Linked DNA regions of Anolis sagrei. The protein of the gene in region 2 binds, or shares a complex with, the protein of the main gene of each other region. Links are inferred from orthologs where the notes say so. Each region holds a gene or a part of one and is shown on either strand. Other genes may lie near its edges.

Region 1 (7,480 bases), on a different chromosome or scaffold from region 2:
CAGCAGCAGATTAGCACAGTGCAAGGGTGGATGTCTTCACTGTGTCTGGTTGTGATCCCCAGGTTGTGCCAGTCAGCTTTCGTATGATATTGCTTCTAGCACCCCCTTTTTGCTTGATATTTAGGCAGTGCTTCTTGTAGGTCAGAGCACGGTCCAGAGTGACTCCCAGGTATTTGGGTGCGCTGCAATGCTTCAGTGAGATTCCTTCCCAGGTGATCTTCAGAGCTTGGGATGCTTGTCTGTTCTTGAGATGAAAGGCACATGTCTGTGTTTTAGATGGATTAGGGATCAGCTGGTTTTCCCTGTAATAGGCAGTAAGAGCACCTAGAGCTTCGGAGAGCTTCTGTTCAACCATCTTAAAGCTCCCTGCTTCAACAGTGATGGCACAATCATCAGCATAGATGAAACTCTCTTCTGGCAGTGGCTGGTCATTTGTGTAGAAGTTGAACATGGATGGAGCAAGCACGCTCCCCTGAGGCAGGCCGTTCTTCTGTTTCCGCCATCTGCTTCTCTGGCCCTGGACCTCAACAAAGAAGCTCCTGTTTTGTAGCGGGTTTCCTATGAGGCGGGTGAGGTGGTCGTCCTTTGTGATATTATACATTTTTCTCAGGAGAAGGCAGTGGTTTACAGTATCATAAGCTGCTGACAGGTCTATGAAGACAGCTCCTGTGATCTGCTGCCTTTCAAAGCCATCTTCTATGTGCTGAGTCAGGTTCAGCACTTGCCTAAACCAGCACTTGCCACATCATGAAATACAAAATAGCAAATATAACAATTAAAAACATGAACATTAATAAATAAAGATTAAACAGTATACTTACGATCCATTTAGCCTATTGCCAGTCTGGTGGCTATTTATCTAGCCATAAACTAATGATTACTCCGCTTAACTTATCCAAATCCACTTCCAAGCCATAGACAAACATTATCAATTGTCCTTTAACCTAACTGCCCAAAGGCCTGGTCCCACAACCACGTTTTTACCTTCTTTCTAAAGGTGAGGAGGGATGACGATGACCTAATTTCCCTGGGAAGCGAATTCCACAGGCAGGGGGCTACCACCGAGAAGGCCCTGTCCCTCGTCCTCGCCAAGCATGTTTGAGACAAAGGCGGAGCCGAGAGCAGGGCCTCCCCAGAAGATCTTAAGCTCTGAGGTGGGCCGTAGAAGGAGATACGTTTGGACAGGTACGCTGGACTGGAGCCGTATAGGGTTTTATAGGTCAAGACCAGCACTTTGAATTGTGCTCAGAATTGGACTGGCAGACAGTGGAGCTGACACAACAGGGGGGTGGTGTGCTCCCTGTATGACGCTCCAGTGAGTAATCTAGCTGACACCCATTGAACTAATTGCAGTTTCCAAACAGTCTTCAAAGACAACCCCACGTAGAGCGCGTTGCAGTAATCTATTCGGGATGTGACAAGACCGTGGACCACCGTGGCCAGATCCGATTTCCCAAGGTACGGGCACAGCTGGCACACAGGTTTTAACTGTGCAAAAGCTCTCCCACCCACTGCCGAAACCTGGAGTTCCAGGCTCTGCTATGAGTGCAGGATCAATCCCAAGCTGCGAACCTGTGCCTTCAAGTTCCTCTGTAGTTCCTCTTTAGTTCTTATTTTCCCTTTGCTGCATTTTCGTCAATAAAAGTCTGTTTTGTTGCATAAAGAGGAAAATAACAGAAAAGGGAAAAAGATGCAATTCCTGGATTAAAAACATAAGAGTCCCCCCCCCCCCCCCCCCCCAATGTAGCACGGTGAGGCACCAGCATACTTAGGCAGATCTTGTGAAACTATAGCTCCCAGGGTTCCATAAGATTTAGCCTTGGCAGTTAAAGTGGTGTCAAATTGTTTTTTACAGCAGAGGGAAAACAATCAGGGACACCTGGAATATTGTGTCCAATTCTGGGCACCACAATTGAAGAGAGATATTGACAAGCTGGAATGTGTCCAGAGGAGGGCGACTAAAATGATCAAGGGTCTGGAGAACAAGCCCTATGAGGAGCGGCTTAGGGAACTGGGCATGTTTAGCCTGAAGAAGAGAAGGCTGAGAGGAGATACGATAGCCATGTATAAATATGTGAGAGGAAGCCACAGGGAGGAGGGAGCAAGCTTGTTTTCTGCTTCCCTGGAGACTAGGACGCGGAACAATGGCTTCAAACTACAAGAGAGGAGATTCCACCTGAACATGAGGAAGAACTTCCTGACTGTGAGAGCCGTTCAGCAGTGGAACTCTCTGCCCCGGAGTGTGGTGGAGGCTCCTTCTTTGGAAGTTTTTAAACAGGGGCTGGATAGCCATCTGTCAGGGGTGATTTGAATGCAATATTCCTGCTTCTTGGCAGAATGGGGGTGGACTGGATGGCCCAGGAGGTCTCTTCCAACTCTTTGATTCTATGATCTAATCACCTCTCAACAAAAGATTGCTCCAGGCACGCCAGGCCTTCAAACGCTAATCAAGGTGGTCAGTTGAAACATTCTCACCTAGCTCCAGCAGACAATAGTTCTTTGTCCCACCCTGGTCTTTCCACAGATATATAAACCCTTTTTCCCTAGTTCCAACAGACTTCACTACCTCTGAGGATGCTTGTCATAGATGCAGGCGAAACGTCAGGAGAGAATGCCTCTAGAACATGGCCATATAGCCCGAAAAAACCTACAACAACCCAGTGATTCCGGCCATGAAAGCCTTCGACAATAAATCAGGGACATCTAATCACCTCTCAACAAAAGATTGCTCCAGGCACTGCCAGGCCTTCAAATGCTAATCATGGTGGTCAGTTAAAACATTCACACCTAGCTCCAGCAGACAAGAGTTCTTTATCCCACCCTGGTCTTTCCACAGATATATAAACCCATTTTTCTAGTTCTAACAAACCTCACTACCTCTGAGGATGCTTGCCATAGATGCAGGCGAAACGTCAGGAGAGAATGCCTCTAGAACATGGCCATGTAGCCTGAAAAAAACTACAACAACCCAGTGATTCCGGCCATGAAAGCCTTCGACAATACATTGTTTATATTTTTGCAATGCAGGCCGCATGTACACTTTCAAGCAATGCAGCTTGAACTGGATTATATGCGTCTATACTGCCATATAATCCAGTTCAACCTCCATTATAATTGCAATGTATTCTTAGCCACAAAGGTGGACAATTTTGGAACTTGGGGGAATTTTGGAACAGTTCGGATTTGGGGGTAAATTATGCTCAATCTTTCTCTATTATCCATCTGTGTTTGTTTACAATAAACTCTGTGAACCACGTGATTTTCTACTATCCGCAGGAATCAGGCATTTTTTTTTCTCTTTCCCAGAGTAAATATTCCTCCCTGAACAGACATGCGCAGTAAAGACCACCATGGAGCTGTTATCCTTTAGCAACTGTATATATATATTTGGGATTTATAGGAGAGACATTCCACGCAAAATAGATGCGCTGTGAGCAGGATTCGAACCTACGCAGGGAGTCCCCATTGGATTTCAAGTCCAACGCCTTAACCACTCGGCCATCACAGCAGTACACAAGGATACCTCTGTAACCTTTCCAAAAGAAGGCAACTTGGGCAAGAATGTGTTTAGGTACATCTACATTGTTGAATTAAAGCAGTTTGATACTACTTTAACTGCTATGGAAACGTGGGTATTATAGTCTACCATGGTCTTTTTAGCTTTGACTGCCAAAGAGTGCTAACTGCATTAATTAATTGTTTTTTCCCTAAATTTAGAATTATCCAATTATTAGCAATTATCCAAGAGTGCATCTGCACTGCAGACTTAATGCAGTTTGACACCACTTTAGATGCCATGGGACTTGTAGTTTTAAAAAGTCCTTCCTGCTAAAATGGGCTGGTGCCCTACCAAAACTACAAATCCCAGGATTCCAGAGCGTTTGTGAAATGGCACTTAAAGGTATTTATTATTAGTTTAAAACCATTATTTTAAAGTATTTATTTACTTACTATTATTTACTAAAAGTCCTTCCTGCTAAAATGGGCTGGTGCCCTACCAAAACTACAAGTCCCAGGATTCCAGAGCGTTTGTGAAATGGCACTTAATAGTATTTATTATTAGTTTAAAACCATTATTTCAAAGTATTTATTTATGTACTATTATTTACTAAAAGTCCTTCCTGCTAAAATGGGCTGGTGCCCTACCAAAACTACAAATCCCAGGATTCCAGAGCGTTTGTGAAATGGCACTTAAAGGTATTTATTATTAGTTTAAAACCATTGTTTCAAAGTATTTATTTATTTACTATTATTAAAGTCAAACTGCATTAATCCTCCTCCTGAGAAATAGTAATCAGTAATCTCAGCAACTGGAAAAGAGCCTTTTCCTTTGAGAGGAACGAAATGGCAAGCAAGAGGTTAAGAGGATGGGCATTTACCCACAGTCAATATGGTCGACTAGGCTTCGTCACGCTTGGTAAAATCTCGCGATATTCTAGGAAGCGGGCAAAACAGAACAGAACAAGCCTCCCAAGCGGTTGCTATGGGCAACGGCGCGGCCTAGAGTTGAGGCCTTAAAATCGAGCCCTGGGGAAAAATTGAATGTTCCCGCCAAAACAATAGGTGAGTAAAGTGGGGAGGATATGGGGCTCTATTAATTAATTGGTTCATTAATTAATATGATGAATTCCATTAGGAATTGTAGTTGAAATAAAGGACAGGCCTCTTAGGCCTTGAATGGTTATACAGAAGAGGGAATTTAAGCAGATTGTACTGTTTGTACAGCATAGTGTCTAGATCCAGGGAAGTCATGCTCCCCATGCTCTATTCCGCCTTGGTTAGACCACACCTGGAATATTGTGTCCAATTCTGGGCACTACAATTGAAGAGAGATGTTGACAAGCTCGAATGTGTCCAGAGGAGAGCGACTAAAGTGATAAAAGGTCTGGAGAACAAGCCCTATGAGGAGCGGCTTAAGGAGCTGGGCATGTTTAGCCTGAAGAAGAGAAGGCTGAGAGGAGACATGATAGCCATTTATAAATATGTGAGAGGAAGCCACAGGGAGGAGGGAGCAAGCTTGTTTTCTGCTTCCTTGGAGACTAGGACACGAAACAATGGCTTCAAACTACAAGAGAGGAGATTCCATCTGAACATGAGGAAGAACTTCCTGACTGTGAGAGCCGTTCAGCAGTGGAACTCTCTGCCCCGGAGTGTGGTGGAGGCTCCTTATTTGGAAGCTTTTAAACAGAGGCTGGATGGCCATCTGTCAGGGGTGATTTGAATGCAATATTCCTGCTTCTTGGCAGAATGGGGTTGAACTGGATGGCCCATGAGGTCTCTTCCAACTCTTTGATTCTATGTTTAATTGGCAGGTTTTAAATGTGTCAAGTGTCTTCAGGTGCAAGGCTTTGTTTTGTTTTTGAGGGAGCGAGTTATTATAATGATAATAACAATAACAACTATTATTATTATTACAACAATAATAATATTTATTTACTTCATTTATATACCGCTTTTCTCAGCCCTTGGGCGACTCAAAGCGGTTAACAATAGCAAAATTCAATGCTCAACATCATAAAAACAGTTAAAAAACAATTAAAACAATGACATAATAAACAATCAATTAAACATAGCTATAACATCTCGTTAGCGTCTCATAAGTAGAATCGAGATCCAATCTCATCATCCGTTGTTCCATATTCCTATATTCATTACACTGCCTATTTAAATGCCTGCTCCAATAACCAGGTCTTCACTTTCCTCCAAAATGCCAATAGGGAGGGGGCCAATCTAATTTCTGTAGGAAGAGCGTTCCACAGCCAAGGGGCCACCACTGAGAAGGCCCTGTCTCTTGTCCCCACCAGACGTACTTGTGATGCAGGTGGAACCGAGAACAGGGCCTCCCCAGATGATCTTAACGTCCTAGCTGGTTCATAGAAGGAGATGCATTAGGACAGGTAAGTTGGGCCAGAACCGTTTAGGGCTTTATAAGCTAATGCCAGCACTTTGAATTGTGCCTGGTAGCAAACTGGCAGTCAGTGGAGCTGGCGCAGCAGATGAGTTGTATGCTCCCTGAGCACCGCTCCTGTCAGTATCCTGGCTGTCGAACGTTGGACCATTTGAAGCTTCCGAACAGTCTTCAAAGGCAACCCCACGTAGAAAGTGTTGCAGTAGTCTATACAGAATGTAACCAGAGCGTGGGCTACCGTGGCCAAGTCAGACTTCCCAAGGTACAGGCGCAGCTGGCGCACAAGTTTTAACTTACAAGGATGTTTTAAGTTTTACAAATAAACTTTATTTATACCCCGCCACCATCTCCCCAAAGGGACTCGGGGTGGCTAACATGAGGCCAAGCCCAAGGATTACAGTACAGCAAAGTAAAATACAATAGCAAATAATAATAACAAAGTAAAATATATTATAATTATATATTTTATATTACATGTAATATTGCTACTAATATTATAATATAATAGTATAGTACAATATAGTAATATATAATACTTATATTGTACTATGCTAATAATATAATATATTGTATGTATATATATCTTGTAAGCCTCTCTGAGTCCCCTTTGGGGTGAGAAGGGCGGCATATAAATGTCGTAAATAAATAAATAAATAAATAAAATACAAACAAATACACAATAAACAAACACAAAATAAAATAGTGGAAGAATAAAAACAGAGTGGGCAGGCGAAATGCACAGGATAAAATTGATAAAACCCTGGGTGAGATTAGGTAAATGGAATATTGTGTATCTGGGGGAGAACTCAGAAGGGCGAACAATGTGGTTGACCTTCACTAAGGGATGAGAGAAAGTGCATCATGAGGACAGATCTGTACTGGGACGGACATGGTGTGGGGATGATGATGATGATAATAATAATAATAATCTTCATTTGTAGCCCGCTACCATCGCCCCAAGGGACTCGATGCGGCTTACATGAGGCCAAGCCCAAAGTACATCAAACAAAATATCAAAGCACAACATCAATAAGCAATCAATCAATCAAATACAAATAATATAAATCGCATAAACAAAAAACAGTCAATAGTGACATAAACAATTTTAAAAATGGCCGGGCCAAATGTAATAGATTAAAATTGAAAATATGTTGATGTGGACAAGGTAAAATATAACTAGGATAGGATTATCATGTCCACTTAAAAGTTTGTGCCAAGTCCACACCAATCACACAAAATTATTATTATTAGCACCTATCATCCCATGCTAACACTTTGTAGTGATTTGTTTGTTTTTTTCTTGTCCTTTCTGTTGACAGGATTGCATTGCCCTTTGGATGCTTGGAGAGAATGCCTTTGGTCAGCGGAGTGGTACCCGCACGGTTCCTGACCATCACGGCCCACTTGGTCATCGTGATCACCATCTTTTGGTCAAGGGTGAGAGACCCATCCCCATCCTTGGGCTGCCATTCCAGCCTCCTCAAATGTGCTTCCAATTGTTTGTGCTTTTTAAAGACCTCCTCCTGTGTGAAAATGAATTATGCCTCCCTCAAGTGAACTTCAGCAAAACAC
Region 2 (7,541 bases):
GTAATTTATATTCCTGCCTTGAAGAAGGTGGTTGGACTGGATTACCTTAGGGGTTTCCTTCCAAATCCAGTGGAATATAGACTGTCTGGGAGTCCAATGGACTCCCAGAAATTAATTACAAAAATGTGAGTCAAGCACTGAAAGGGTTAAAAGGATGCAATGACGCAAAAAAAAAACCCTGCAGTTCAATATAAACAGATGTGCCTGTTGCTTAGTAGCCCTCAGTCTGTGAGAGGTCTCAGTGGGAGATAGATCTCAGTATGAGTAGGCCTCAGTGTTAGTTCACCTCACTGTGTGAGAGAGATGTCAGTATGAGTGGGCCTCAGTGGGAGAAGGCTTCAGTGTGATGTTGGCCTAAGAATTAGTAGGCCTCAGTATGTGAGAGAGGTGCCAGTATGAGTAGACCTCAGTGGGAGAAAGGCCTCAGTGTGATGCAGGCCTAAGCATTAGTAGGCCTCAGTGTGTGAGAGAGGTGTCAGTATGGGTAGGCCTCAGTGTGAGAAGGCCTCAGTGTGATGTAGGCCTTAGTGTTAGTTCGCCTCAGTGTGTGAGAGAGGTGTCAGTATGAGTAAGGCTCAGTGGGAGAAGACCTCAGTGGGAGAAAGGCCTCAGTGTGATGTAGGCCTAAGCATTAGTAGGCCTCAGTGTGTGAGAGAGGTGTCAGTATGAGTAGGCCTCAGTGTGAGAAGGCCTCAGTGGGAGAAAGGCCTCTGTGTGGTGTAGACCTAAGCATTAGTAGGCCTCAGTTTAAGAAGGCCTGGTATTAAAAGCTTGTGTGAGAGAAGCCCTAGGTTGAAGACCATCATGTGTGAAGCTTCAATGTGAAGGCTGCTGTGTGTATAAACCTACTGTGGAAACTCCTGTGTAACAGAGGCTCTGTTTATCTGCATGAGAAAGAAACCCGGTATGGAAGCAAAGAAGGAAGTATAAAGAACTTTGTTCAGGATATGGAAACCCTGTTCTTGTAAATAGTGCAACCATATTATTTTACTATAAGGACAAGCCTCCTATGGAAGACATAGCATTGGTCTGTGTGGTTTGCTCTTTTTGTCACTTTGGGCTGCTGGTGCTAGGTTACACCACTGCTGATAAGTTATTCTGCTGTACATTTATGAGGGTCTTTTGTTAATAAGCCTTCAACAAAAGCAGCAGCCCCTCCTCCATTGCAGCTCCACTGGCCAGAAAAAAGGATGGACAAGGCTTTGCAGTGCTGGCTTACCTCTCGGCCAACTCCCAGTCCTCCTGGATCTGCTTCTGCCGAGCCTTCTGGTACTCCTCCCGCCAGCACTTGGAGCAGTAGCCCTGCCAGGCTGAGTTGCCATAGTAGCCGCAGCCTTTCTTGCAGAGCAGCTCAGACTGGTCCACGTGGATCCCACGGCGCTCCGACTTCAGGCTCATTGCGCTGTGGGGAGAGAGGAAGGCGGGCAGAGCAGTGACCCACCTTGGCTTTGCTGAACAAGGTGAAGTCCATATGGTGCAGTGGGCTCCAAGGACGCAACTATGTAACACTATGATTTTTGTTCCTAGGTTATCAATGTCATTTCCTAAGTGGTTCTATCATTTTATAAAACATGGGAAATGTTTATTAAACTGCACACACTTTTGTTTTGACATGACCTCCTGCAGCACCTTTTGCTCTAGTTTTTCAATGAATATCCCATCATTGGGTCCCAATCTATTCAATGTCACAAAAACAAACTTTCTGGAGTAGAACAGCTACTTTCAAAGTAAAGGCCAGGCAATTGAACAGGAAATAACATTTCCGAACAGAACACTTTTCAAATTGTTACATAGTGCAATGTGTATATTACAAATAAATTAATACTCTGCTAAGGAATGCTCGGTATGGATATACATACTGACATATAGTCACACAGACAAAAATATACACACTTATATACAAATAACATAGCTTAAATTTACTTCTAGAAAGTAAATTTCAACAAATTCCTACATTTCAACAAATCCCTACATACATATACCATGCATATTTAAAATACAGGTATATGTGCATAAGCACATAATTTACATTATATATATATATACACACACACATCTATGCACATAATTTTATATAGAGACACACATGCACAATTTATATATTTTTGTATTTTATATATATGTACATAAGCATACTTTATATTTTTATATTCTAAATATATATACATAAACATATGATTTATATATATATATACATACAAATATACACACAATTTATCTCTCTCTATATATATGTGTGTGTGTGTACATAAGCACATCATTTATATTATGTATAGCACATAAATTATATATATATATATATACACACACACACACATACATATACATACACTACACACACACACACATATATATATATATATACACTCACGTGTGTGTGTGTGTGTACATAAACACCTGAGTTCTTTTGGGGAGAGAGGGTAGGTTAAAAATAAAGTTATTATTATTATCAAATACATGCACAAATGTTATAGATAGATAGATAGATAGATAGATAGATACACACACACAGATGGGTAAATACGCTTATATTAATTTTTGTACTATATAAGCATAGATTTTGTTTTGTGTCTGACTCTGGCGGTTGGTGCTCATCATATTTATTTTATACTACATTTCTTTTATACTAAAATGTGACAGAAAAATGATTTTAGTGATGAGACGCTGAAAGCTTGTGTTTGATGGTTTTTATTGTTTTATTGCTTTTATATGGTTTATATTATATGTAATGTTTTTTACTGTATTTATGTTGTTTGGGGGCATCACCTCTAGACTGGACTACTGTAATGCGCTCTACGTGGGGCTGCCCTTGAAAACGGCCCGGAAATTTCAGCTAGTTCAGCGGGTGGCAGCCAGGATGTTAACTGGTGCTCCTTACAGAGAGAGGTCAACCCTCCTGTTCAAGGAGCTCCATTGGTTGCCATTCATTTTCCGGTCCCAATTCAAGGTGCAGATTTTTACCTATAAAGCCCTAAATGGTTTGGGACCTGCCTACCTGCGCGACCACATCTCTGTTTATGAACCCGCACGCTCCCTTCGATCATTCGGAGGCCCTGCTCACGATCCCACCTTTGTCGCAGGCGCGTTTGGTGGGGACGAGGGACAGGGACTTCTCTGTGGTAGCCCCCTGACTCTGGAACTCTCTCCCCAGGGACATCAGACAAGCCCCAACATTGGCTATCTTTAGGAAGAGCCTGAAGACCTGGCTGTTCCAGTGTGCCTTTCCGGAATAGGAAACTCCTAGCTTAAGTCCCAAATGCACCTTAGAGATTCAGGATTATCTGCACTTGCACCTATCTCCAAATACCGCCTCATATTACCTGTCAAGTCCAGCACTTTTAAATTGTGTTCATTACATTTGGCCCGACCTGGTTTTAATTGCGTCACAGCGTCATTGTTACTATTTTCTGTTTTGCTTGATGTTTTATTATTTGCTTATGAGTTTATTGTGTATTGTATTTTGTATTGTTGGCGGCCTTTGTAAGCCGCATCGAGTCCTTTGCAAGGTATAAATAAAGTTAATAATAATAATAATAATAATAATTGACTGCCAACTGTAAACCGCCTCGAGTCACCTCTGGGTTGAGAGGAGCGGTATATAAATATGGCAAATAAATAAATAAATATTCTATATATTGTATATACATTATTTTATAGATATTTGTGCTATATTTTATACCATGTATTTTATATTTATTTTATACTATATATTTTATATGTTATTATATATTTATTGTATATTATATTTTTACTCTATATTTTTATTTATTTTATACTATATTTAATTTATACTATTTCACACTGATTCTATACTATACATTTTATACTTGCATATATAAGATAGGATATACACACAAGTTATATTTATTTCTATTCATGCAGAAAGATATACAGAGGCGCTTAAAGCATATACATGCATAGATATCTCTCTATTTAAAGAGACACACACACATAAATAAATAAATACACATTTTCAAAAATCACTCTTCTTCTTATTACTCTTACTCTTAAGCCATACCATAATACTAATCCTGAGACTTACCCTCCTGCTTTTTCCCCTATTTGTCCTCCTTCCTCCTTTCTTTATCTCTGAACCTTCCCTCAGCCTCTACTTCCTTCTCTCTTCCGCCTTCTCTATACGCGCGTCGACGTCATGGCGTCACTTCCGCTTTCCCAAATGCCTGTCATTTCTGTTTCTAGGTCTTTTCCCCCACCGGACAACGACTCCCATGATGCTCCAGGGAGACAGAGCCGGGCTCTACAATGTTAACTGCTGCGCAAAGGATTGTGGGGGTTGGAGTTCAATAGAGCCAGATACTTTTGAGAACCGCAGCCATCTTGCCGTCTCCATGGAAACGCGGCCTAGCAGGAACAGCGCAGCCTGAGACTCGCGTAGGAAAAAAAGAAAAAAGGCTCTGGGTATGGCAGAGGCGGCGTGGAATGAGGACACCGGCGTCGCCGTCTATCGCTCCCGGGACCCCATCGGCAACCTCCGCGTCCGGTGAGGCCTACCGCCATTTTAATCGCCCCTTTTCTCCCGTGAGGCCTAGTGCGGACTCCGGAGCCTTCGCTCGAGTTGGGCGCCACTGTTTCTTCTTCAACAAAACACCTCAGGGAGAAAGGGACTCCCACAACCAGAGATAGATAGATAGATAGATAGATAGATAGATAGATACACATATACATATGAAAACAGTTTCCATATGAAAACATATGGAAACTAAAAAAAAATTAAAATATATTTTCAAAATTTATTAATATTATTTATTATGTATATTGTATGTTATATATTATAGAAAATTATATTGTAATATATTTATAATAATAATAGTAATTTTATATATTGAAATAGATTAATAATATTTATTATATTTATTTAATAATATTTATTATTATAAATTGTATGGTATATATTATAATTTACATTGTAATATATTAATATTATTTATTTTATATATAATGTATATATTGTAGATTTATACTGTAAAATATTATTAATATTGTATATAATAGGTTTCTATTGTAATATAGTAATATTATTTATAAATAAAATTTATAAAATATGTGATGTATTATACATTTTTCTATATTTATAACATTATTTATATATTATGTTATATATTATATATTTATAATCTATAGTCATAATATTATATTTTACAGATTTATTTGGTAATGTATTATATTTTATATATATTGTATATTATAGATTTATATTGTAATATATTATATATTACGTATTATGTGTTATACATATTATAATGTGTATTATATATTAAGTGTTATATATTATAGATTTATATTGTAATAAGTTAATAATATATATGTGTATCATATTAATGGTTTATATACTGTAATATATTAATATTATTTACTATATATTATATGTTATATAGATTAATATTATATACATTATTATTATATAATATGTTATATATTATAGATTAATATTATATTAATAGTGTTATTTATATACCTGTTATAGATGTTATATATTGTAGATTAATGTTTTAATATAATTTTTATATATTGTACATGTTATAGATTAATATTATATGTTAATAATATGTATGATATATGTTGTATGCTATATTTTATATACCTATATATATAGATAGGTATATTATATATATATGTATACACACAACACACACACACACATTATTTGTAGTAGTAGTATTATGTTGTGAGAGGTTGGCTCTTCTTGTCCTCCCACGCAGGGTCGGCCTCCAGCGGGTGACGTCTACCAGTCTTCTCCTTCAGCAGCTCCAAGCCTCCTCCGGCCAGCAGCTCATCGGCTTGGCCACCCTTGGCCCTGTGGCAAGTGAGTGACTGCTTTGGGCTTTTGGGCCGGGACCACATTGGCCAAAGCCGCATGCTTGACCCGTCGGCCTACTCTTGTGTCTTTCAGGTGCCCCTTGTCCGGAGGAGGAGCGCGAAGAGGTCGTAGTTGGATGGCAGGAGAAGCTTTTCAGTCAGGCAAGTCTATGTCGAATGCAGAGATATTATATATATATTTATAGATACACACATGCACATAGATATAATATCTATAGCCATCTATCTTTGGCTGAATGGCCATCTATTGGGAGGGTTTGGATGGAGAAACTCTTCTGCCAGGCAAGTCTAAGTCGAATGCATAGATATTATAAACACATACATATATATGTGTATAGCCATCTATCTTTGGCTGAATGGTCATCTGTTAGGAGGGTTTGGATGGAGAAGCTCTTCCGCCAGGCAAGTCTATGTCAAATGCATAGATATTATACATACATGTGTGTGTGTATTTCTACGTATATATGTATATATGTAAATAAATATATAGCCATCTATTTTTGGCTGAATGGCCATCTGTCGGGAGGGCTTGGATGGTGTCTTCCTTTAAAGCAGAAGAGGGTTGGACTGAATGGTTCTTGGGGTCCCTCCAACTGTAGGATTCTCTGATATACATAATATATATCTCATATATCTATATCTACCTAGATATAGATATTCTGTGGCCATTTATCTGGATGATCCTTGAGGTCCCTCCAACTGTAGGGTTCTATAACACACACACACACACACACACACACATATTCATTCATTCTATGGCTATCTATTGGCTGAATGGCCACCTGTTGGGAGGGATCGGACAGTGTCTTCTGTTAAAGCAGAAGGGGGTTGGACTGGATGACCTTTATATATAAATATACACATAAATTATAACATTGTCACAGTCACCTTTTAATATATATATATCCCATATATTCTCATAACATTCTGATGGCTCCTGTTTTCAATTCTATACTTATGTACAGCAAAAAATTCTGTGGTCACTTCTCCTCTGCCCCAATCATACCATTTCATTCCTTCTTCCGTCCCATGTGCCCTCAGTTCGAGGTGGACCTCTACCGCAGCGCCGCGGCCTGCCAGACACCGCTTGACCGCCAGTACCACCGGGAGGTCCTGCGGCTGGAGGAGACCGGCGGGAGAAGCAACGCCCGCATCTTCACCTACACGGATCACGACCGCTTCACCAACCTGGAGGAGGTATGGTGCCCGTCTCATCTATGGGGAGCCCTGAGAGAGGGAAGCTGGGTCCGTGAGCCTTCTTCCTCTTGCCTTGCAGCATTGCCAGAAGGTGACCACGGCGGCTGAGGAAAAACCCTCCTACCTGGCCGAGCGCATGGCCAATGTCCGGAGGAGGCGGCAGGAGCGCCGGCCCAGGTCGGCCCAAAAGGCTTCAGTTATCCCTCTCTTCTTCTTCTCTTCTTCCTCCTGGCTCTTTCTTTGCCTCCATCCCTTCCCTTTTCTTTCTCCCTTCCTTCCTTTCTTTTTTCCTTCTTCCTTTACATTCCCCCCCCTTCTCCTTCCTCCCTTCCTTTTTCTTTTCCCCCTGCTCATCTTCCTTTCCTTCTTTCTTTCTTTCTTTCTTTCCTTCCCTCCATCCATTATTCCTTCCTTTCTTCCTCATTTCCCTTGCTTTACCTTCCTCTTCTCTCCTTCCTTCCTTTCTCCCTTCCTTCCCCCCTGCCCATCCTCCCTCCTTTCCTTTC

What was found. The genes of interacting proteins can lie anywhere in the genome.
Region 1: MKS1 (region 2) and TMEM107 share a complex: the UniProt entries of both Homo sapiens proteins name them as parts of the tectonic-like complex. The link is inferred for Anolis sagrei from reciprocal best matches to the Homo sapiens genes MKS1 and TMEM107.

Annotation. Positions count from the first base shown.
Region 1 is NC_090026.1:7,267,631-7,275,110, forward strand, and holds the start of TMEM107 (transmembrane protein 107), read left to right. Parts: upstream 1-4,427; 5' UTR 4,428-4,563; intron 4,564-7,227; 5' UTR 7,228-7,258; coding exon 7,259-7,345; intron 7,346-7,480. UniProt on the Homo sapiens protein: Plays a role in cilia formation and embryonic patterning. Requires for normal Sonic hedgehog (Shh) signaling in the neural tube and acts in combination with GLI2 and GLI3 to pattern ventral and intermediate neuronal cell types.
Region 2 is NC_090031.1:28,095,960-28,103,500, reverse strand, and holds the start of MKS1 (tectonic-like complex member MKS1), read left to right. Parts: upstream 1-4,322; 5' UTR 4,323-4,421; coding exon 4,422-4,501; intron 4,502-5,720; coding exon 5,721-5,824; intron 5,825-5,911; coding exon 5,912-5,979; intron 5,980-6,879; coding exon 6,880-7,035; intron 7,036-7,114; coding exon 7,115-7,212; intron 7,213-7,541. Other genes in the region: RABGEF1 (rab5 GDP/GTP exchange factor), read right to left, coding at 1,220-1,398. UniProt on the Homo sapiens protein: Component of the tectonic-like complex, a complex localized at the transition zone of primary cilia and acting as a barrier that prevents diffusion of transmembrane proteins between the cilia and plasma membranes.